Rhinolophus ferrumequinum: one gene and its partners. The protein of the gene in region 2 binds, or shares a complex with, the protein of the main gene of each other region. Links are inferred from orthologs where the notes say so. Each region holds a gene or a part of one and is shown on either strand. Other genes may lie near its edges. The genes, in order: MAGI2, DDN and WWC1.

Region 1 (8,066 bases), on a different chromosome or scaffold from region 2:
CAACTGTAGATAATAAATCTGTGTGGTCTGAAACCACTAAGTTTGTGGTAATTTGTTACAGAAGCAATAGGAAAAATACAAATACCCACTTCAACCTTAGCATGAAGGAAGCTTTTAACTGAAAATCACATTGAACATTTATATTCTGCTAAAACGTGGGGCATCCCTTCATACCTTGTGTTAGGTAGGTCTCACCTTTTATAAAGATTTTTCTAGATGAAGTGTACCATGTTTTGGTCTTACTACCCATGGTTCCTTATTCTTCCTCCTCAAACACTTAGAGATCTCATATTGTAGGGATACAATTTTTATGTCTGTTGATCAATTGCTGAGTTTTGTGGCCACTTCTGTTCCATCAGTTAATTTAAAAACACTCAGGGTTAGGGGCTTTCAATGTAACACGGCATTAGGAGTAGGAACTTCAGAGTCACACAGACATGGATCAAATCATAACTCCACTTTTTATTGGTAGTGTGACTTCGGGCAATTTAAAATACGTGAGCCTCAGTTTCCTCATCTGTAAAATGGAATAATCATGTCTTAGATCAGGATCCCTAAAATCATGCCCTGAGATGAGAATTGTGTGCAAGTGATTTATCAAGAAATGCTTCCAGGAAATATAACCCGTAAATTACCAGAGTGAGCAAAATACGGAAGGAAAAGATTTCAGGCAGAATCCTAGCATTTGCATGATCCTGGAGGGGAGACTGGGGGTATAAATTACATCTTAGGTTTTCTTACTACTAGAGGTGATAGGGCTGGACTTTTATGCTGTATATGGCAATCCTTAGGAAAGGATGTCCTTGGAGAGAAGTAAACTCCCAGGTGATTCTCTCTGACTCTCTCTGCAAAGTGAGCCCAGAAGCCCCTTGGGCAGCCTTCCAAAAAGAGTCTCAGGGGCTGGCTATGAGGCACAAAAGAACACAGAAGCTAGAGAAAGGGTACTCAGACCCAGTCAAAGAAATTCAAGGGGATGAGGTGGAGTCGGCCATAAGCATCCACCTCATAGAATTCTTGTAAGGATTGAATGCACTCATGCATTCTTTCCTTTAGCTTTTAAGATTCCTAAACTATTTTTCTTTTGGAATAGCATGCAATATCTAGTGCCATGCTCTGCACATAGAGTGCTCAGCAATGAAATAATTCTTTCTTGACACAGGCATCAAACTCAGAAAGGGTAAAGGAGACAAAGTAAAAATAAAGCGAATGTGAAGGATACCAGAATAGAATGTAACCAAATTAGTCTGATTCTAGCATTTCAAAATGGCTGTAATAGAGCTGGAAACTTGAACTATTTGAGACTCACATCTCTTTGCTTTTATCTCTGAAAAGCTAGATAAAGTTAACCAATCAACCAACTAACCAACAGATAATATATTTATTTGATGACAATAAATCTTACAGAAAATGCTGTTTTCCTCCCTCAGGAAACAATCTAAGTCCCCAGAATACTCCTACACGTAATTTTTTTCTTAAAGGATCTCCATCTTCTTCTTTGCTACTCTCTGTTCCTAGACTGATAATTAACACCTTTAATTTTGATAGCATTTCACAGTTTTAAAGTGTATTCACATTTAAGTGCATTTAAAGTGCATTCAAATTTTACATGCTGCTCACACAACCTTGTAATTCACATAGTTACCCCCTTTTTACAAATGAGGGAAGAAGCTCTGGAAATTTAAGTGACTTTGTCAAGTTTGCACAACTAAAGGCAGGATGCCAACTTCTAATTCCCAGGAAAGTGCTCTACTCAAGGCTCTATACCAGGGGTGTCCAAACTGCGGCCCGGGGGGCCCACTGTGGCCCGCAATCCATTTTTAATTGGCCCGCAGCAGATTCCAAAAATATATTTAGTTTACTTAAATAATCCAGGTGAGGCAATACATACTTCACCTCGAGTGAGTGGCCCGGCTGTTTGTGTATTTTACCGCATATGGCCCTTGGCGAAAAACGTTGAAAAAAGTTTGGACACCCTTGCTCTACACCATCCCTTTTAAATGTTCAGTCAGGAGACAGAAATCACACCATCGTTGGAGCAGGAAAATTTAATATAAAGAATTATTAGCTAGTAAAAGGTGAGTGACTACTAAAAGAAGAGATCACTGAAGAACACTGAAGAAAACTGAATTTAGAGAGCAACCACTTCCTGTAGGGCTGTGGGAGAATATCCAGGGAAGGAAAAACTTAGATGAACCTCCACCCCCACCCCGTTTCTCCCCTACAATGGCTGACAGACAGATCTCATTGAAGATAATGTAGATGTGGCCCACTTGATCACCAAGAAATATGTTGAGGTGTCACACACTGGGCTGGTGAGAAAACCACGAGTTGGGGTGCCAGTGAAACTTGCTAGGAAGCTACCCACTGGAACACCACACACTAGGGAACTGGCCAAACTTACTGGAGGGTATGAAACACTGGTTTCTTGCACACCACTGGCCAAAAAGCCACCCACTGACCAACACACCATAGAAACAAGAAGCACTGGAACTAAAAAGGGGAGCCCCTTTTTTATGCAGTGTTCCTCCAGCACCTTCTGATGACAAGTCCTAATATTGTGCCAATTGAGAACAAGGACATGTTTGTAGCTTCTACTATCACAATTCAGGGCAAAGAAGATGAATTGGGAGCTGAGAAGCACTGAATTAGCTGACACACACCTCAATGACTGTCCTGGGTCCTCATGGGCAAAATACTTTTATGACAAACTCCAGCTTCATTTGTTTTCTTTTCTCCTAATCACCCCTACAATAAAATGCAGACACCTTTTGAACATCATGCTGATTGCTGGTATGACACATGGTAAGTGCATGGAGAGAGAGACAATGCAGTGATTGAGACCAGGTCTGGAGCCAAAAGGGTTGGGTCTGAATATTAGTTTCCCCACTGACTACATTTGCAGCCTGGCAAGTTAATCTCTGTATGCCTCAGTTTCCTTATCTTAAAAGGGGAATGACAATAGTACCTACTTCATTAAGATGTCAGGAGAAATAAATTAATATATGGAGAGCCTATAGGATAACATCTCACATGTAGTTAGAACTTGATAAATATTAGTGTTACCCATACATGTTAGTTTGTAATTGGTGTTTAAAAATACATACTCAGTTCTCATCAATTTCCACTTAGGATCGTATCTCGTAATGCTGAAACCCAACTTCTTTGGGTGAGACTGGGCTATACTACAAAAAGTCTTGCCCACTCCTGGGCACTGCCGGCAGCTCTGGTTTCAGATCCTGGCACTGCCCCTGGCTCACTGAATGATCCTTATCAGTCGCAGCCAACTCCTTGGGGATCCATTTTCTCAAGTAAAAAGAGACACATGGTTAAACAAATCATCTTTCTTCAATATCTCTTCCAGTTCTGACTAAATTCGATCTTCCTCTTCCCCAAATAGAGCTGTACTTGCCAGGGGAAAAGGAAGGAAATTACCATTTTGAGTGCCTACCCACCTAAGTCAGGCAAGCACTTTGCATGCATTACCTGATTTTATCCTCATCACAGGCCTCTCAGATTTAGTACTTTTCACCCTATTTAACAAATAAGGAGACAGGCTCAGAAAGGTCAAGCAATTTACTCAAGATCACACTCCTGGTAAGCAGCAGAGCCTGAATTCAAACCTGGCCTTTTTGTTTGGGTCGACTAAACATTTTTAACTGTACCGCTCGCCTCCCACACTATCTCCATCTCAGACATCAAGAATACTAATTGCTCAGTGCTTTTCATGCTTTGCTTTAAAGAGATGAGTGGGTGTGCGACTTTTTTTTCCCTTGTCTTAAACATATCCTTTGAAAGTAAGGCAAACGAAATTAATTTACCAATTACAGAGATTTTTAAACCACTCCTAACATCTCACACGACATTTGCGTTGAGTGATAATCAGCATTGCTCCTGCATCCCTGTGCCTCAGTCCTCACCTCTCCTCCTGGCTGCAAACTTGGCGAAGGGAAGGAGCCTGGTGGTGGGCCAGCTACCTGAGTGCCAGCCCCCATTCTGCCGCTACGTTCACCCTCGGAGCCGGCCTTCTTTTCCTTCGCAGTCGGAGGAAGTTGTCGGGTCAGATCACCTTAAGGCTTCTTCCCAAGCTACCAGCCCGAATCTGCGGGCATTGCAGGGTGAGGGCGTGCCCCCGCCGTCTCCGCTGCAGTTCCCCGGTTAAACTGTCCATTTCTCTGGGGAGGCTGCTCACTGCACCCCCCCACTCCACACCCAGCCCCTTTCTTTCCGCTCCTCCCAACCTGGAAACCCGAAGCCCCTTTCCCTTGATCCCGGGAATCGCCTTTCTCCAGACACCTCCTCCCTCAGCCCGACGCGTGGGCTCAGCCTGCCCCGGGCAGGGGATGCTACCTCGCCATCCCCGCTGTCAGGGGGCCCCGCCTGCAGTTCTCTTAACTTTCCGCGCCTCCGATGGGAAGTCTGAGAACTCTGCCACGATCTAACCGAAACCGCATAGAGACTGAGTCTCTCTAAACAGCGAGATCCTGCGCCCCCCGCGGCTCCCAGCGCCGAGGCCTCTCCCGCAGCTCCCCAGCGGGCCCGCAGTCAGCCCTCTCACGGCCGGATTCCGCGCCAGGGGGGCCGGCGGCGCTCCAGCTGTAGCGCCCGCACCGCGGCGCGCTCAACACGCGGTCTCGCTAGTTCTGCTCCAGCCCATCCCGCGTCTGAGGCAGACGGAGCGTCCTCGCAGCGCCGCAGCCCAGCGCACCGCTCGGCCGCCGGCAGTCTGCAGAAAGGTCCGCACTGGGCTCGCAGCCCTGCCTGCCCGTCTTCCCACGCCGGGCCTCGGCTCCCCACCTTTCCCGCTCCCGCCTCCTCTCGCAGGCTGCCAGGCGGACGCAGCCTGCCTCTCTCTCTGCCTTCACTACCGGGTCAAGCTGCGGAGGGAGGGAGGGGAGACAGCGGCGAAGCGGTCCCCCACCCGGCGCGCGCGCGCCCCTCCTCCTCTCAGCCTGCCTCCTCCCCTCCTGCCAGTACTGTACAACTAGTGCACACACACACACACACACACACACACACACACACACACACGGACCCGCCGCTGCCACTGCAGCTGCCATGGGTATCAGCTAACACCACACACCCAGGCGCGCGCGCGCTCCCACTCGCACCACGCAGGAGTGGCCCCCGGCATCCCTACCCTCCTTCCCCACCCCCACTCCACCCGCTCACCAGCTCGGCTACTGCTCGCTCAGGCTGCCGCCGCCGCCGCCACCACCACCACCACCTCCTCAGCTCTCCTCTGCTGCGGGGCCACAGCTTTGAGTGTCATTCAAGGGACAGCACAACCTCACCCAAGCTCTCCTACCTCTGCCCAGCCGTCCCTCTCATCCTCCCCCTTCCTCGTCCATACTCCATCCAAAGAAGAGGGAAAGCACCGAACAGAGGGGGAGGAAGGCAAAGTCTGCTCTTCTCACCTCTTGGCCCCCTTGCTCCTCCATCCTCATTCTCTCATCGCCAATCCCCCTACCCAAAGGAACCCCTCAGGAGCTGAGGCGACTCGCCCCACTGCCATGTCCAAAAGCTTGAAAAAGAAAAGCCACTGGACTAGCAAAGTCCATGAGAGTGTCATTGGCAGGAACCCGGAGGGCCAGCTGGGCTTTGAACTGAAGGGGGGCGCCGAGAATGGACAGTTCCCCTACCTGGGGGAGGTGAAGCCCGGCAAGGTGGCCTATGAGAGCGGCAGCAAGTTGGTGTCGGAGGAACTGCTGCTGGAGGTGAACGAGACCCCCGTGGCGGGGCTCACCATCAGGGACGTGCTGGCCGTGATCAAACACTGCAAGGACCCCCTCCGGCTCAAGTGTGTCAAGCAAGGTGAGCGCAGCGGCTTGCTCCGGGCTTTGCCAGGCAGCTGGACCGCTCGAAGCGCGGGGCAATGGAAGGGTGGGCTCGCTGTGGAAGGGGGTGTGTTGCACGGTGGTGGGGTGAGGTCGAGAGAGTACCGGCAGGGCAAGTGAGCTTTGCGGAGAATCCGAATCGGGGCTAAATGGAAGGGAGGGCAGGATGCGGTGTGGCGTGCAACTTTGTTTGCGCAGTTATACCCTCCCCGTTGGAAGGTGCTCGGCCTTGTCTGACCTCAGAGGTGCAGGCGAGCTCCAGGGGCAAACTGAATGTGCGTCAGTGGCATCGCCCGCAGTGGATGAAGAGCTTTCAGGGACGGACGGAGGAAGGAAGGGAGGGAGGATGGGAGAAAAAGGGAAGAAGGGAAAAAAGAGGGAGGGAGAAATGGAAGGAAGGAGCAACTTGAGGGTGCAGCGGCATCACGAGCAGGGCAGGGCGGAGAGGAGCGGAAGGTGGCTGGGCGAACAGAGAACTACGCCCCCCTCCACCCCCTGATTTGGGGATCTGGACCGCAGACTCCTTGACCCGCAGCCATCTCCTAGGAATCCCTGAGCCACTAGTTGACGAAGAAGAGAAGGGACCGATTGCTTTGAGCGCTTTGACCGGTCTTCCTTAACTTTTCCCTGCTTCACTCCTCTGTCCCCCGCCCCCGTCCACAGTCAATCACGTGAGCACCGCGCGTCACGTGCGCACTGACTAACCCCGGAGCTGGCCCGCTGGAGCAGGCTCTGGAAGAAGGCGCGGCACCGGGAGCGGGTTGTAGGGTCAGGGGTTTGGGAGGAGAGCAATGGCTCCCCGAATGAATGTTCTGTACTCAGTGGTTGCCCTCTTTGAGTGGAAGTTCTCTGTGGTTGGACTCACCTCTGCCTTCCGATGGGGACAGGGGTCAAGTTTCTAAGGAGTTATAGGGAAAAGCTCAGGCCACCTATCAGAGGAGCTTCATTTGAATGCTGTGATGAGGACTTAGGGAGACTGGAATCTTGGCAGAACGCTCCCTAACTCTGTCTTCGCATGAAAGAAAATGATGGTCCTGAAGCAGGGACGAGTGCGAAAACGGTTTCTTGGAAAGAAGACAACTTTAACTAGAATAAAGTAGTGTATCTTTGTTTTCCACACGTGATCGCATCCGTTTACAGATCACCGGCACACTTCATGTGGGGTGGGAGGGTACATATGCGTGTTCACATCAATGCAAAGGTTTGTTGGTGGGGTTCCATTGGTTGTCCCGCCTCAAAGATGGAATTGAGCATGTCATTGCCTGCCTTTTGAACAAGCACTTATCTTACTTCGTGAAAACTGTCAAGAAATACTCTTAGGGAGATGTTCTTCTCTATAAAAATAGGTTTTAAAGGCAAACATGTGGAAAAGATATTTCAGGTGAAATTTCTTGAATGTAAATTGTCATGCAAGAAAACGTTTTCGTTGGGGATTCTTGAGTATTAATAGCTGATGACTTGAGATAGGCTAATTTAAACATTGACTTGGAGGTCAACATTGCTTAATAGTGTATGAAATTGAAGAATATGAGTTAAGTAGGAAGGCAAATAGAGTATTTTGGTATTTTTCAAGGTGATATGCCCAATTGTCAAATATGGGGATTCATGTTAACCTATTTGATGTCATGATACTGTCTTATAGCAATAGATTTAAATGCGAAGTTCTGGTTTGAGACCAAGAAATCCACTACATAATTAATGGTAACAAGCTTGGTGTTTATAGTGGAAAGTGGCTGCAAAAGTTAATGCATTGTTAAATTTGACTAACGATAGTATCCTAATGAGGGAAGTGATTGTCCTGTTATAGTTTGCAATGATGGCCACAATTGACTGTTTTATTCATTCGGATCACTACCTGTTGAGATGGACCTTGGCAAACTATGATTCTAGCAGCAAGAATGTGTCCAGAAAATAAAGAAAGGTAGGTTATTGGGTATTGTGGATATCTCCTATAAAATCCAGTGGAAAGACTTTAACTTGAGAAAGGGAGGGCATGAAAGGAATTCTGACGAATTCTGTGATACTCCACAGGCAAAACTAAGATGAGTCTATGGGAATTTTAAAAAGATGAAGCATCTTTATCTTCATGAAGATGAGCTTTCTAACAGAGCTTTCCAAAACTCTGTGGGCTATATTGTGAATTCATGAGATCCCCACCAGTGTGGGTGTTTATGAAGAAGCTAAAATGAACATGTGCCATGGATTCCTATGTAAGAAGGGGATCTGGACTCA
Region 2 (7,974 bases):
ACACAACTTCCCTCCCCCAACCATCACTTTTCCCTGTTTATAAACACACTCTACGGAGCTATTTAACTACCCTCAGGCCCAGTATGTGGAACTTACCGTTATTCCCCACCTTTCCATAGCTTGTTTGATGCTGTCTCTTCATTAATTCGGAACAAGATCCACAGGCTGCCAGTTATTGACCCAGAATCAGGCAACACCTTGTATATCCTCACCCATAAGCGCATCCTCAAGTTCCTCAAATTGTTTGTAAGTGCTCCTCGGCCCAGTTTTTACTTCTTATATACTGGGTTGGAAGGATATCCACGGGTGGTGTAGGGGGCCTTGAAAATCAAGCTGATGTTTCCTTCCTCAGATCACTGAGTTCCCCAAGCCAGAGTTCATGTCTAAGTCTCTGGAAGAGCTACAGATTGGCACCTATGCCAACATTGCTATGGTCCGCACAACCACCCCAGTCTACGTGGCTCTGGGCATCTTTGTACAGCACCGAGTCTCAGCCCTGCCTGTGGTGGATGAGAAAGGTGAGAGATTTGGTAGAAGGCGAGGGAGGGCTCCAGGGAATCCAGGGTGGCTCTGGGAAAATCTGTCCCCTCAGCTCAGCCTGGAGGGTGATTCTGTGGGCAGGGGAGCCTTGGATGCCAGATCCTCCTTGCTGAGCTGCCTCTGTCCCCCTAGGGCGTGTGGTGGACATCTACTCCAAGTTTGATGTTATCGTGAGTGATTGTGGAGGGCTTGGGAGGTAGGGGAAGGGGTGGTGTGTTGAATGTGGAGAGGGAGAAGAAGAGAGCCTCTTCTGGGACCTAAGAGTTTTAAGAAACTTCCAAGCTTTCAAATCCTATTTGAAAAGGAATTGAATGAGCTGGGTGAGGCTTGTGGGCATGGCTAATAACTGCTCTAAATCCCTCTGGCGGGGTTGGGTGGGCTCAGCGTTTGGGGGCTGGCTCCCTCACTTCCCTGCAAGCACCTTCTCCTCTCTCCCCAGAATCTGGCAGCGGAAAAGACCTACAACAACCTAGATGTGTCTGTGACCAAAGCGTTACAACATCGATCACATTACTTTGAGGGTGTCCTCAAGTGCTATCTGCATGAGACCCTGGAGACCATCATCAACAGGCTGGTGGAAGCAGAGGTAGGGGGCCAGCCATGAGAGTGGGGTTCGGCAAGGCGGGCATGAAGGACTCCCCTAACCAAGGCTGGCACTAAACATGTCTTTCTCCCTTGTTGCTTTCTGCAGGTTCACCGACTTGTAGTGGTGGATGAGAATGACGTCGTCAAGGGAATCGTGTCGCTGTCAGACATCCTGCAGGCCCTGGTGCTCACAGGCGGACAGAAGCCCTGAGCTGGGGGTGGGGGAGGCGGCACTGGGCAGAATGCCCACTCACTGCCTGCCCAGAGCTCTGCGAACCACAGACGGAACCTTCAGAGACTTGGGACTCTGTTCCCTGCTCAAGAGCCCCCTGCCCTTCTACCTGGGAGCTGGGAAGGAAGTAGGGGAGGAAGGAGAATGGATTTTTAGCTGTTCTAGCCTCACACATACACGTGAGGAAAACTTTTCAGCCCAGCCCGTCCTAGCCCGTCCTCTTAGGCGTAGCCCATCTTCTGGGTGAGCTATGGACTCTGTGCCCCTCGGGCAATTCTGATCTCTAAGAGATCCCAGACCTCAGCCAGCCTTTGCCTCTATCTCCATCCCTGACTCCACCCTAAGATAATAGCACAACAAAACTCTTCATAAAAATATTTTTATTCATTTGTTTCATGCTATGTGGAGGAGGCTGAGTCCATTTAGTGACATTTCTTCCCATAAGGGGCGAGGGGAGGATAGTGGGGAGGACGGCCTTTGGGTTCCTGTGCTGTATATGAAGGGAGGTGACTTAGGTGGAGGAGTAGGGCAGAGTGCTTAGCTGAGGTTATTGCTTTTCATGGCAAACTTAATTAAAATGACAGGAACCTCTTCACGGTATTGCAGTGTTTGCTTTTTGTAGTTGATACTACGGCTCCAACCTTCTGACTTCATATGGCTTCTTCAACTCAAAAACAATAATAATAGCATACACGCTCATATAAAACTGTGTAAGACACCATTCTCAGTGCTTGACATAATATTTATGTAATCCTCAACAATAGTGGATATTATTCCAGTTTTATAAATTTAAAAGAAACAGCACAGAGAGGCTTTGTAACTAGCCCAGGGCCACACAGCTAGTAAAAAGTAGAGCTAGGATTTGAACTCAAACAGTCTGGCCCCAGAGGTCATGCTCTTTACCACTACACTAGACTTACTACTACCTTTCTAGATCTCTGTTCATAACTGTTCCCCACCCTATTCCCTGCAGTCGTCCTTAATTACCCCACTTTCACCTCTGCCTGGACCATAGCTGGGACCCCAGGAAAATTTCATAATAGTGTTAGGTCTCCAGAGTAGACAGAATACCTGTATCCTTTAGGCGGAGAGACATGCCACCATCATTAGACTTTCTTAGGGAAGGTTGGATTCTGGATTTTGCTGAACTGTCTTTGAACGTACAAATCCCTTGTGATTCTTCCAAAAAGGAAATGAGCTGGAGATAGGGGGTGGGGAAGCAGCAGGACTGTGGTCTCCCCCTCAGACCCTTTTCCTGTGCTGAAACCATGTGAGCCAAAACAGTCGTACCAAACAACATAAGGATACCTAGATTGTTGGGTATGAGCCAAATTCTGGGTACCATCTCACCACTGCCTTGTAGTTACGCTACCATTTGTTTTGGATATCAAGACCAAAAGCAATTTCAGAGCAACTCCTTTCCCCTACCTACAATGTGCCTGTGAACACAGGCATAGCATACGGGTCCCTCCAAACCAGGCTTCTGACAAAACACGGGGAAAGAAAGCATCAAGACAGCTTTCAGTGCTACATCGTGGCCTCAAAGAAGCCATGCTTGTGCACTTACCTCTTCACAGCTCTCGCAGCACATTCCCAGACTTGAGGGAGGGAAGCATTCCAAGTTATTAGAGTTAGGGTGTTTATGTGTGTGGGGGTGGGTGCATGGAGGAAAGGACAAATGTCTTCTAGTGTCACATTCCATCATGAAATAGGGTTTGTCTAGGGAGGAGGCAAGGGTTTTAAAAAGCCTAGGACTCTGGGGGAACCTAGGTGGAAGGAGGCACCTTCAAGCAAAGAGCCCGCAGTGCAGCTGGTAGGTGTAAAGGGGGGTGGTCAACGGATGGGATAGGGAATGTGTGGGGTTTCTCTAAAGGTCCACCTAAGGGAGCAGGAGGCCTGGGTTTTGTTGCTCTGGTTCTCAGTAAGTCAGTCTCTGCCCAGCAACAACCCTCCTGGCCCTATCCCCTTAACAGAATAGGTCTGTACCCAAAGGGCTGCAGGTACTTTAACGGAAAACCAGTTGGGATCTCCTGCCTCTCCCATTGCCCTCTAAAACCCAATCAGTCTCAGAGTCTGAGGATGGAGCGGAAGGAAAGACAAGTAACAAAATTTGGGAGCCGTGTAGCCTTCTCTTCTTACCTATTCCTTTCAGGAGAGGCAAATTATCCCTTCTATCTCAGGAACCATTGCCACACACACTCTTCCCCCACTTCCCCAAACCCCTCCCCTCCACTGGAGCTGCTGCCATGGTTGCCAGGCATGGTTGCTAAGTCTCTGCATGGAAGGGTTGGCGTGGGCTGTGCTGCCACTAACATTACCATGGTGAATCAGGGGACACCTGGTATAAGCTTGGGGGGGAGGGATCATATGGATATAAGCAACAGTCCCCCAGGACAGAATGAGGCTAAAAGGTGAACATCTTGAGCACCACTTCAGGTGAGGGCTGAGTGAGCTAGGCATTGTGATGGTGGTGACAGGGAGCTCTACACTGAAAAACGGGGGCCACTTTTATCATCAGGGTTGCTAGGGGATTTGGTTTTGGCCAAGGGAGCACACCGTTCCTCCTCCAGCCCCTCTGAAAGGGTGCAAATGCATAAGCACCCTAGTCCTCCATAAGGCTGGCAGAGCTGTGTGGGCACAGAACAGTATGACCCAAAAATTCTGGCTTGTGGTTTGGGGGAGAGAGCATGCTACAGGGAGAGGGCTGCATGGATGCCCAAGGACAAACATCTACAATGGAAGTGTAGGGCAGCTTCCATGGCCAAGACACACTTCTGTGTCCTGCTGTACCAGCAGCCCTGGGCTACAGTTAAGGGTATGGGGGTCATCCTTTTTGAGCTTGGAGAAGTCCCCCACCCCAGACTTGCACAAAAGCTGCATGAAAGCCACTACCTCCTCCCTCCACCACATGGAAGCTGGTTACTCATCTTCTCTCTGCACCCGAACTGCCACTGCTGCTAAAAATAGCCCCCCAGCCGTGGGCCAGCTCCTCCTGCACCCCAACCCCATGGAAACCAGCAAGAGTGGCAGGCAGAGACCTTGAGTTCCATTTCCATCACCTGCCTGTCAGAGAAACTGAAGTCCGAGGCAGGAAGTCAAGGGTAGAACCCTGGTGGTCAGGCACCCTGACAAGCAGGGAAGTGAAGGGTTAAAACGGCAGGAAGGTTGAAGAAACGGGGGCGGGGCAGGTGGCACTGTCAGCTGGCATGAAGAAGTCCCCTGCCCACTTATGCAGGTCCCATCAGGCACGGGGGACAAGAGCAGTGGGAAGGGGCGCCCAATCCCGGGCCCCAGGGGGCGGCCGTGCACATGGGGGAGGTAGCAGTGCGGAGCCGTCCGCGCTGTGTCACATGCGCGCGCGCGCGCGCGCGCACACATACACACACACACACACACACACACACACACACACACACACAGGCATACACGTGTGCCTGGGTATATATAGTCCCCAGTCGCTGGGCCCGCAGCTCTGCAGTGGGCGCCGGCTTCCTGGGCTGGGAGGGGGCTCTCGGGGCGGGTGGGAGGGTGGGGGGCCAGGGTGGGGTGGGGCAGGATGCTGGATGGCCAGCTATTCTCCGAGGGGCCCAACAGCCCCCGGGAGTACCAAGATGAGGAGTCTGGCAGCTGCCTCTGGGTGCAAAAATCCAAGCTGCTGGTGATCCAAGTGAAGACTATTTCCTGTCATTATAGCCGCCGTGCCCCTCCTCGACAGCCCATGGACTTCCAGGCCAGCCACTGGGCCCAGGGGCCGCAGAGCCGCACGTGAGTGAAGGAGGGGTGAGGGGAAGAGAGTGGTGGGGGGTGGAATGGGGTCCGGACCTCCCCTCAGGCACCAGCCAGCGCTGTTGGTCCCCCTTCTCTGTCCCACGCCCTACTCCCCATTCCAAGGGCTGGGACCTTGACCTATTCCAGCGCTGTTTTGGGGGGACAGGAGTGGGTGTGAGAAAGGGCAGGAGGTGAGATGGGGCAGGCGCTATTAAAGTGTGCATGGAGAAATGGTGAGGAGTCCCGCTTCGACTTCAGCCCTCACATATATGCACGTGCACACACACTCACACACATACCTTCACACGGCTGCCCCAAGGGGTCGGCAGCGCTCCCAGCTCCCCGGACCTCGGCTCCCTTCCCCCACAAACTGCTCACCTGGGTTCCTGCTCATTGTCCCAGGTGTGGGCCGCGCCCGGGATCCCCTGAGCCACCGCCCCGCCGGCCCTGGGCCTCCAGGGTGCTGCAGGAGGCGACCAACTGGCGGGCTGGGCCCCCGGCCGAGGCCAGGGCCCGGGAGCAAGAGAAAAGGAAAGCGGCATCGCAGGAGCGGGAAGCCAAGGAGACCGAGCGAAAAAGGCGCAAGGCAGGTGGGGCCCGAAAGAGCCCCCTGGGTCGGCCCCGCCCGGAGCCTCGGAATGCCCCTCGGGTGGCCCAGCCTGCAGGGCTCCCAGCTCTGTCAAGGCCAGAGCGCCTGGGGCAGGTGGGGAGACCACCCGGTCCACTCGCTCAACCGCGGAGCAACGCAGGGGCGGCGTGGGCGGGGCCCTGGGGAGGTCGCAGGCCAGGGCCCCCCAGCTACGAGGCTCACCTGCTGCTGAGAGGCGCTGCCGGGACGGCCCCGCGACGCCGCTGGGACCGGCCGCCACCCTATGTGGCTCCACCTTCTTACGAAGGCCCACACAGGACCTTGGGGACTAGTAGAGGCCCCGAGCCCTCCCAGGCTCCGGTCTCATCCGCCCCAGCTCTGAGTCCGGCCAGGACAGACGGTGGGTGCACAAAGAAGAGGCTGGATCCTCGAATCTACCGGGACGTCCTCGGGGCTTGGGGTCTCCGACAGGGGAGGGGTCTCTTGGGGGGATCCCCAGGATGTGGAACAGCCAGGCCAAGGCCGGAGCCCCGCAAGGGGGCCGCGGAGAAAAACTTGGGTCTGGCTGCTGCTGGCCTGAACAGTGGTAGCGACGGCCACCCCCAAGCCAAAGCTGCTGGGAGCCCAGGGACAGCGACAGCTCCTCCCCGGGCTACAATTGCGACTCCCAGGCCCCCGCGCCCCGCTCCCAGATCCAGGCCCCATCTCAAGGCCCCTGGGGAAGGGAAAGAAGGTAGAGAACAGAACTGGCTCCCCAAATGCTGGATTCCCTCCCTTAAAAAGCAGCCACCCCGACATAGCCAGACCCTCCCCAGACCCTGGGCTCCAGGAGGCACAGGATGGAGAGAGTCCCTGGGTCACAGAGAGGGGGCCGGCCCCGAGACTTTGGAGGGTTGGAAGGCAACCCGCCGCGCCCACACCCTTCCCCGCAGTTCTCGAGGCCCCTCTCGTGGAGAAGGCATCTTTGTCATTGACGCCACGTGCGTGGTGATAAAGTCCCAGTATGTTCCAACCCCTCGAACCCAGCATGTGCAGCTTTTGCCCGCTGGGGTGCCACGCGTTGTTGGGGATGCCCCCAGCCAACCGAAGCCCAACAAGGAGTGCGAGAGGGCCGCGGTCTTTCCTTCCCCTTGCCAAAAGCTGCTGTTGAGCAATCGCCTTTCACACCAGCCAGGTGGGGGGCACGGGTTCGAGGCTGAGGGCGGGAAGCCAGCGGACTCCTCATTGGAGGAGCGCGCCTCCCGCATCTTGGGGCTCCCGGTGGGCGAAGTAAACCTGCGGGATGCTCCCACGCAGCCAGGTAGCCCAGAGCACTCAGCCTTAGGCCCAGCGGCTTTGGAAGGCGCGGGCAGTGCCGAGGGCTCGGGGGAACTGGTGGCAGTCCCGCGGCGGCCCGCAAACCAGTGCTGGGCGCGGAACCCCGGGCCCTACGCCGGGGCCTTGCGGGAAGCCGTGTCCCGCATCCGCCGCCACACTGCCCCGGACTCGGACTCGGACGAAGCTGCGGAGCTCAGTGTCCATAGCGGTTCTTCTGACGGAAGCGACACAGAAGCCTCGGGTGCCTCCTGGCGGAGTGAGCGGACCCGGACCCGGGAAGGCGGGAAGACAGCCGAGCTGAGCGACAGTGTCCGAGACATTCTAGGTGTCATCGGCCGAACCGAGGAGGTCCTCTTCGGGGCGAGGGACACTAAGGGGGACCCCACAGGGAAGTAGGGAGAGGCAGTAAGATGCCCTTTCTTGTATTTGTGTCCCCCAGCGCATCCATCCTTGGGCCCACTGGTCCCCTTTCTTCCTCACAGACTTCTTTGTAACCCTACCTATCCCGGTTCCCATACTCGAAATAGAAGCCGCCCAAGTGGAAAGAAAGGGAATATCTGCGATGTATGATTTTTTTTTTCCGGTGAGGTGAGGGTGAGCAGTAGACTTTAATGCCTGCTCCATTCAGGGCACTGGGGTAAGGTGTTCAGCAAGGGTGGCTGCACTGGGTGTGGAGCTGAGCAGAGAGGCCTGGCCAGGAGCAGGCAGGACGGCAGGGATGGTATAGACATGGGAAGGCAACTTCAGGGCAGAGCCTTCCCACGAAGAGGGAGAAAGTGATGCAGAGGCTTCAGACTGAGGCGACCACGTGACAGAGAGGCCCTTGGCAGAAAAGGAAGGGGTCCAGAAGTAACCATCAAAGTTCACTTCGGTGTCACAAGTCTAGGTTTCCAATCTCAACTCTGACACTGACTTGCTGGGTGACCTTAGGGAAGTCGCTTCT
Region 3 (7,195 bases), on a different chromosome or scaffold from region 2:
CTCATTGGTGAAAGACACAATAGCTCCCGGTCCTCAGTACCCAGAGGACTTTTGGTTGGGAGAGTGGAAACCTCTCCTACCAGCCCCAGGATTGCCTCCTATCCCGGAGAAATTCAGTTCATTTAATGAATTGAACCAGCAAGAAAAAGGGGGGTGGGGTGGGGAGTGGAGGGAGAGCAGGCAGCACCGGGAGAAAGGTGCCCCTTCTTTCATGGAGACAGCTCCGCCTGTTAAATGCCCTGATAGCTAACCTCCAGGTGGGTCTGGGTGACAGCACTGGTGGAGGTCAAAACTCAGGTTGATCTATTATCAGCTTAGAATTCAGAACACCCACTTCAACTCTGCCCTTTCCTTGTAAACACAGCTATGACTTCAGCTATGCCCCCTCCCACCTCCAGCCACACCAGATAAATATGCAATCCAAATGGAAGTCCAAGTTCAAGACTAGTCTCCTGGCTGCTCTTCCACCCACGTCCAACCAGACTGTTAGTGCCCCAAAGTTCCTCCTTTGTTGGCAAGGTAGAGGCCACGCTGCTGTGAATTCAGAAGTAAAACCCACTGGGAGTTCAGTTGGAATCTTGGCTGTATTACTTACGACGTGACCATAGGAAAGTCACTTCATCTCTGAGTCTAGGTTACACATCTGTAAAATGGGACTAATAAGAACTAGGGCAATGCTAGACTTATCCATAGAAACTCCATCTCCCTATTTGTAAAAGAAGTAGGCAATGCTAGACTTATTTTATTTTCAAGCACTGAAGACCCAGAGATAAATAAGAAACCGTCTCTTCTGCCTCATCTCTCATACTGCTAAGGTTTCTTCCACCCTAATTTTCCCAGGCTTAGGACATGTTTTCCCATCATTGGGAAAAAAAAAAAAATCAGTCCATGAGTCCAGTTAAGAACTTCATCTAGTGCATGACTAAAGAAAGGGGACATTATCGGCTCAGCCATAGAAACGTAACTGCATTCCCTGGGACGTGTGGGAGGGATAGCATGAGGTAGGGCGGTACAGTTATGGAGTCGGAAGAAAATTCTCGGCAGAGGTTTCCATAGCCTCCACTTCCTTGAAGAATGCAGAAGCTAACCGGAAACTATTGCTGACCTATCTGTTCCTTTTTTTTTTTTTTTTTTTAAGCTGAATTTCTCTTCCTTCCCATCTTCGTGAAATACATTACCCTGATGCTCTGAAATTCTCTGAATCACATTTGTGGAAACTGGCCTTCCTTTGTTGTTGAGTGGGGGAAAGGATTTAAGTGGACTTCTTTTATAAAAACAAGACAATGTATCCCCGGCACAGGTGTCTCCAGTGAGCTGACTGGATATGAAAGCAAATGAAGAAAGGCTTGGCTTGTGGTCACTTCTGCTCGGCCCCCAGGCCGGCCATCCTGTCTCCTCCAGCTCCACTCACGGGCAGCCAGACGTAGCCCCAGGAGAAAGGCCGGGAAAGGCTGGGCCTCTTGCCTTCAGTTCAGATTCCTGCAGTTCAGTCACCTGTAGAGTAACGTCCAATTCACTCTGTCACGTGGCTCAGCCAGTTTTACCTTTAGTCCCTTTCAGGTTTGTCCTCAGCCTTGAAGAATGCCTGGGGATGATTCACCCGCCATCACCTGGGGCAGGCAGTCATCTGTTTTATTACCTCACCCTGCTTGCAGCTCCTGGGAGATAACCTGGGATTCTTTTGTTTCGGGGGGTGTGTTGGGGCGGGGGAGATGGAGGGAAGTACTGTGGACAAACAGACCAAGGCTTTAGAGAGCCAATTCCTGCTATGGTCTCACTTTCCTACTCCCCAGTTGAGGTCTAAAGGTCTGAAGGAACAGCCATTTGGTAAATGCCAGGGCTTCGGCACCTGGGCTAAAAAAGAAAGTCGGATTTGGCAGTGTAGAAGGTGTTTTCCCTTCACGACCAACACCAGCCAGTGAGAAGGGCTTGGTTGCCAAGCAAGACTAAAACAAACCCAGTAATTAGGATTATCACAAGCAACCGTGCACAATTTTCAGGAAGAGGAAAGGCATGGGCTTGTGTTTGGAACAGAAAAGACTTCATCGGTTCACATGTCGCAGGGGAATGCTTGCTGCCAGGCAGTCATGCTCCAGATGTACCACAGTGAGGGCGCTGGGTGATGGCTGCCTGCGGAGTGCCAAGCCCTCTACACTCCTCACTTCCTACTTAGCTCTTTCAACAAGCCTACTGAGTCTGTATTAGTCACAATGTCTTCCAGACCGAAGACTGAGACTTTGTTTAAGCAAGTTCCTCAAGGTCAAAAGGCTAGAAAATAGGGTGGATTAGGGACCCAAACAGACTGATTCCTGAGCAAAATATTATTCAAGGACCTGCTATAATTAAAAAACGAAAGAGAGAGAGAGAGAGAAAGAGAAAGTATAGGTCAGTATTTGAAAGCACAAGTGCAGGAGTAGGACAGACCTGGGTTCACTGATTAGCTCTGTGTCCCTGAGCAACAGAACAACATCTTGGAGCCTCAGTTTTCTCATCAGTGAAATGGATATAATGAGTAGTATTCCCTACTCCAGAGGGTTGTTGTGAGAATTAAATGAGATCATGTGTGTGAAGCACCTAGCACCATGTTGGTTTTACTAATCCATAGTGGGAGACTATTGATTTTTCTATAGTGAAGGCTTGGCCCAAGCAGAGCAAGTGTCAAGGGCTGTGGCAATGCCCCATGAAAGGATGGGGAACTCCTACTTTTCGGTGTTGGTGGTCAGTCGAAGGCCGTTTCTGGACTTTCGTGCATGGCATCCATGGAATGAAAGAGGGGAGGAAGGGCCAAATGCTGAGCCCATACATTGAGACCACAAACATGGGATTCCCACCCTTGCTCAGCACACCTGGGCCCACCCAGTACAGGATGCTGGCTTGTCAGGGAGATTGTGGGATTCAGCCAAGAGGATACACGGCACTGGGCCTCATTCCTCCAGCCCAGCTTCCTGACACGTATCCAGGGCAAAAAATGGCCAACCACACACTTAGGAAACAGACACGTCCGTTGATCCTCAACTCAGTCGTGCTACTTTCTTTTTTGCATTTAATTACACATTCTTCATTTCTCAAGAAATATTGTGTCGGATTTTTGAATTTCTTCTACTTTTTTTCAAGATGGAATTTTGCTTTGCTTTCTTTACTTCTCTTCATAACACCCTCCCTCAAAACCCATAACATACCTACCTCAAGGATATCGCAGGAAAGAACGCCTGTGAAACTGCTAGCCCACAGCCTGGGACAAGGTAAGTATTCAATTTAGCTAAAAACAACAACATCATTACTATTACTTTTACAAAGTGCGCACCCTGACACCCTCTGGAAGACCTCCCGGGAGGGGCTTCATAGCACTCCTAATTTTATGGACCCCTAGGAGAGCCTGCTACATTTGCAAATACGGGGTGGGGTGGGGGATGGGTGGACCAACGTGGGGAGAAGAATGGACTAAGAGGGAGACAGATGGTGCGTGTGTTGGGGGAAGGGATCAAAGATTCTGGAAAACTTATGTTCCCCGATTTACAAGAATGTTTCTATTTAACCACTTCTTGCCTGACTCCTAATTCTACATAACAGAGAAGCGGGGAGTTGTAAGATCTGGGGCACCTGTGCCAAGAGCCTGGACACGCGGGGTGGAGAAAGCCAGGAGCGTTGGGAAACAGAGGCAGAGCGGGTCCTGCTTTAGCGTCCTGGGGCTGCAGTCTGGGTCCGGGACCCAGGTAACGGGAGGTCTCCCCTTGCCCTGACAGGGGCAGCGAAGGGGCGGGGGGCCGGCGGTTCGGACTGTCCCACGAGGGGGCGCGTCGCGGGCCCTAGGACCCGCCCTCGCGGCGCTGGGCGTGGGGAGGAGACCTGGAAACCCAGGCGCCCGGCGCTCCGCCTCCCGTTTCCGGGGCAGCGCGTTACCTGTACCGCCCTAGCCGCACCTGGCGGAGGCAGAAGTCGCAAACCGTGCGAGCGCAGAACGCGGAGCCGAGAGGAGAAGCCGCACGGGGCTGCGGGGAGGGAGAGGCGGCGGCGGCGAGCGGCGTGGAGGGCGCAGCGCGCCGCGCGGCGGAGGAGGGCAGGCGGCCGCTGCGCTCGGCTCCTTCTGCCCCGCCGGCCCGGCGCGCACCCGGGCCCGCACCGCGCGGCTGCGGGCGCACATGGCCGCGTGAGAGGCCGGCGGCCGGAGGAGCGGGCGGCGCCGGGCTGGGGCCGTGGGATCTCAGGGCCGCATGGACAGCCGCGCCACCCGGGCCAGCCCTCGCTAGGGCCCCCAATCCGCGGACGCCCCCCCCCCCATTATGGTGCCTCGGCGGCCGCCCGGGCCGGGTACAGCCAGCCGGAGCCGCTGAGCCTGGGGCCCCCGCGGCTGCCGGGAGCTGCATGGGGGAGCGCGGGCCGCACTTAGGAAGATGCCCCGGCCGGAGCTGCCCCTGCCGGAGGGCTGGGAGGAGGCGCGCGACTTCGACGGCAAGGTCTACTACATAGACCACACGAGCCGCACCACCAGCTGGATCGACCCGCGGGACAGGTAGGACCCCAGGCGGCCCCCACCCCCCAACCCGGGCCCCCTTCTGTCCCAGGGACCACCAGCCGGGACTGGGCAGGGGATGAGGGAGAGCTCTTCCAGCCTCTTGTGCTTTCTTCAGTTTGTCCCCCCCCGCCTCCGCCGCCCCATCCCCTTCTGGAGCGCTGCTCCTGTCCCTGTGAGCTGCTGGGAGGAGGGGACGGCCAGTGAGTTGTCCCAAGCTGCCCCCTCTGCCATCCCTGGATGGAGGACTTAGGCCCCAGCCGGCACCTGCCCAGAGTTTTGACCTTAAGCTCTAGCCCCGCCCCCCGCCCCCTTTAGAAAGAGTAGTCGGCCGGGGGCGCGGGGAGCGACCTAGCGGAGTGATGCTGGGGCTTCCCGGGGGAGGCTTTCCCCAGCAACCCCAGGGGAGAGCGGCGAGGGGGGATGCGGAAGCATCTGGTTTAGAGGGGGTGGTAGGACCCCAGGATTCAGTGGGAGACTGCTGGAGGAAGGACACTACGCGGAGGGAAAGGCTGCCTGGAGTGTGATTTTTGACAGGTGACTTGGAGGCTCTGAGAAGAGTACTGGAGCAGCCGAGGTGGGGTGGGGAGAGGCCTGGAGGCGGGAGTGGGAAGGAAAGGAAGGAGCTAGGGAGGGCTGATGGAGAGACTGGTTCCCCAAGAATCCCACAGCAACTTGGAAGCTGTTAGGGTGTCGATGGGGTGAGAGGCCTCTGGCAAAGCCCAGCCCATCGCCTCTTTCTCCTGCCTTTCTTCCCCCGGGGACCGGGCTCCTCAGTTCTGCACCAGCACGCTCTGACCTTGATGGCCACCACGCCGGCTGTAGCACGGGATTTTTATTCATTTTTTTGCTGAGGCAGGTGGAGTCTGAGATGGCTGGTGTGGCTCTTAGCTTCCAGACTTTCTCCGGGTTTCCACTGGTTGGGATTTCTTTGCACACACGCACTTCCTCCCCGTGTATGTGTGCGGGGGAAGGGAGGACCACCTTCTGGGGTAGCTTTGTTGTCCTTTGCCCCTGCGGTCTGTGGTCAGAGTGGCTTAGGAATGTGACATTTTCACCTGGTCATTGTGACCTTGGGTGTCAGGTGACTGTAAAGCAATGGAGGTGAATTTTTTGGACCCTTCATCTTGCAGGAGTTGGGATGGAGGTCCCACAAGTCCAGAATGGGTGTGTAGCAAGGGGAGGGGTGAGAAACAGAAAAGCGAAAGATGTGAATTGAGATTTCCAGTAGTTTCTGTAAGCGTTTAAATTCGTTCAACATTTACTGGGTTCCTCTATGCTCAGAACCATGATGACTGTCTCATTAAAGTAAATCTGGAAGAGAACATTTCAATGCTAGAAAGCGTCCCTCAGGCAAGCTGCCTTTACCTCTGAGCCTCAGTTTCCCTATTTGTGAGACTAATGGTTAGCTTGGAAGGGGAGGCGTAAAAGTGGAACTTTTAAAAGCGGGGAAGGACGTAGAAGATCTGAGTCCGACTCCTGTTTTCAAACAATAGAAGACTTGAGGCCCGGAGGTGTGATTTGCTGGTTTTGATCCTTCCACTGCCCTGCCATATGCCAGCTCCGAAGGTCTAACCTAACGTGTTCTGACTCACTCGCCTTCGCCACCTACCTCGGGGTCAGTTGTCCCAGGGACTCTGTTACTGTGTGGGTGAACGGGGCAGCCCATCGTCCTCTCCTAGAACAGATACAAGTTCAAGCTTCTGTGTCCTCCCCCAGTTTAGCTTCCTGAGGAAGAAGTGCTGGCAGCAGCAGGACGTCAGAGGTGGACAGCCTCATACCTGCGCTGCGGAGCACCCCAGGTCATGCATCTGCGGACTTTTCTGGGGCTCTGAGAGGATAACACAGCTGCCAAAAGCTTGTCAAACAACAGTGATTCTTTACCCTTGGAAGAGGGGCCAGCAGTATAGCTTCCATGGAAAACCGACTGGGCTAGAGCATAATTTCCCAAATTTTAGTATTACGGGAATCATCTTCATTACTTTTTGCCACATCCACCTATGCTATTGCTTACGTGACACTTGATTTTAAATCAACTCAATTAGAAATTTTTTTACCACTTTCACAAATGGAAAGCTAGCAATATCTGTTGCCATAAATAGAAAGGATCCTTAAAACTACAGTGGAGGAAATAAAACAACCCAGTGCCATTATATTTTAGCTCAATACTTTGACCTGCCCCCGGCCCTAGCAACAGGCCTGTGCAGCCTTTGTTTTTAGACAGATTGGCAAGCAATGGAGAGGGATTAAAACCGTACTGGTGCTTAATGGAGCTGCTCTCTTCTTCACCTTGCAAGCCTTGGGTTTTGTACCTCCCGGTCATCTCACGTGCATTGGGCTGGTGTGAGCCCCTGAGGTTGGGGTGCTGAGTGCAACCCTGGGGTCACTGTTGTGGTGGGCCAAATTTGGAAGTTTTGGGAAAGAGCTGAGCAGAGGGCATCCACTCGTGGCTCTCTGGAATTTCCCTCCTGCACACCCTGGTAGGGATTTCAGCCTTCTAGTCCTGCCTGGGTGGCCTCAGGCAAATTGCTTGAGCTCTCTGAGGTGTAAGTGCTTCATTGGTGAGAGAAGAGAGTTGATGAGATGGCCCCTAAGGACGCTGCCAGCTCTCAGATATGATTTCAGACCCCTAGGCCTCTCTTTCCCCTGCTTCACTCCATGGCAGAATTTGAGAGGTGGGCAGGT

The links.
Region 1: the proteins of DDN (region 2) and MAGI2 are in contact, whole or in part, in a crystal structure (PDB 6KKG), measured with the Mus musculus proteins. The link is inferred for Rhinolophus ferrumequinum from reciprocal best matches to the Homo sapiens genes DDN and MAGI2. Residues at the interface, in NP_001013763.1 of Mus musculus: Asp222, Arg223, Pro224, Pro225, Pro226, Tyr227, Val228, Ala229, Pro230, Pro231, Ser232, Tyr233, His237, Arg238, Thr239, Leu240, Gly241; in NP_001164217.1 of Mus musculus: Glu308, Met309, Ala310, Tyr311, Thr312, Glu313, Gly315, Tyr318, Ile320, Asp321, His322, Lys325, Thr326, Thr327, Ser328, Trp329, Asp358, Tyr361, Tyr364, Val366, Asp367, His368, Arg371, Arg372, Thr373, Gln374, Phe375.
Region 3: the proteins of DDN (region 2) and WWC1 are in contact, whole or in part, in a crystal structure (PDB 6J69), measured with the Mus musculus proteins. The link is inferred for Rhinolophus ferrumequinum from reciprocal best matches to the Homo sapiens genes DDN and WWC1. Residues at the interface, in NP_001013763.1 of Mus musculus: Tyr227, Val228, Ala229, Pro230, Pro231, Ser232, Tyr233, His237, Arg238, Thr239; in NP_740749.1 of Mus musculus: Glu13, Glu14, Ala15, Arg16, Asp17, Tyr23, Ile25, Asp26, His27, Arg30, Thr31, Thr32, Ser33, Trp34.

Annotation. Positions count from the first base shown.
Region 1 is NC_046303.1:44,639,294-44,647,359, forward strand, and holds the start of MAGI2 (membrane-associated guanylate kinase, WW and PDZ domain-containing protein 2), read left to right. Parts: upstream 1-5,033; 5' UTR 5,034-5,510; coding exon 5,511-5,811; intron 5,812-8,066. UniProt on the Homo sapiens protein: Seems to act as a scaffold molecule at synaptic junctions by assembling neurotransmitter receptors and cell adhesion proteins. Plays a role in nerve growth factor (NGF)-induced recruitment of RAPGEF2 to late endosomes and neurite outgrowth.
Region 2 is NC_046293.1:50,070,447-50,078,420, reverse strand, and holds the start of DDN (dendrin), read left to right. Parts: upstream 1-4,893; 5' UTR 4,894-4,913; coding exon 4,914-5,122; intron 5,123-5,527; coding exon 5,528-7,427; 3' UTR 7,428-7,974. Other genes in the region: PRKAG1 (5'-AMP-activated protein kinase subunit gamma-1), read left to right, coding at 120-246, 353-518, 673-710, 980-1,126, 1,232-1,336. UniProt on the Homo sapiens protein: Promotes apoptosis of kidney glomerular podocytes. Podocytes are highly specialized cells essential to the ultrafiltration of blood, resulting in the extraction of urine and the retention of protein.
Region 3 is NC_046307.1:35,410,318-35,417,512, forward strand, and holds the start of WWC1 (protein KIBRA), read left to right. Parts: upstream 1-4,183; 5' UTR 4,184-4,391; coding exon 4,392-4,510; intron 4,511-7,195. UniProt on the Homo sapiens protein: Regulator of the Hippo signaling pathway, also known as the Salvador-Warts-Hippo (SWH) pathway.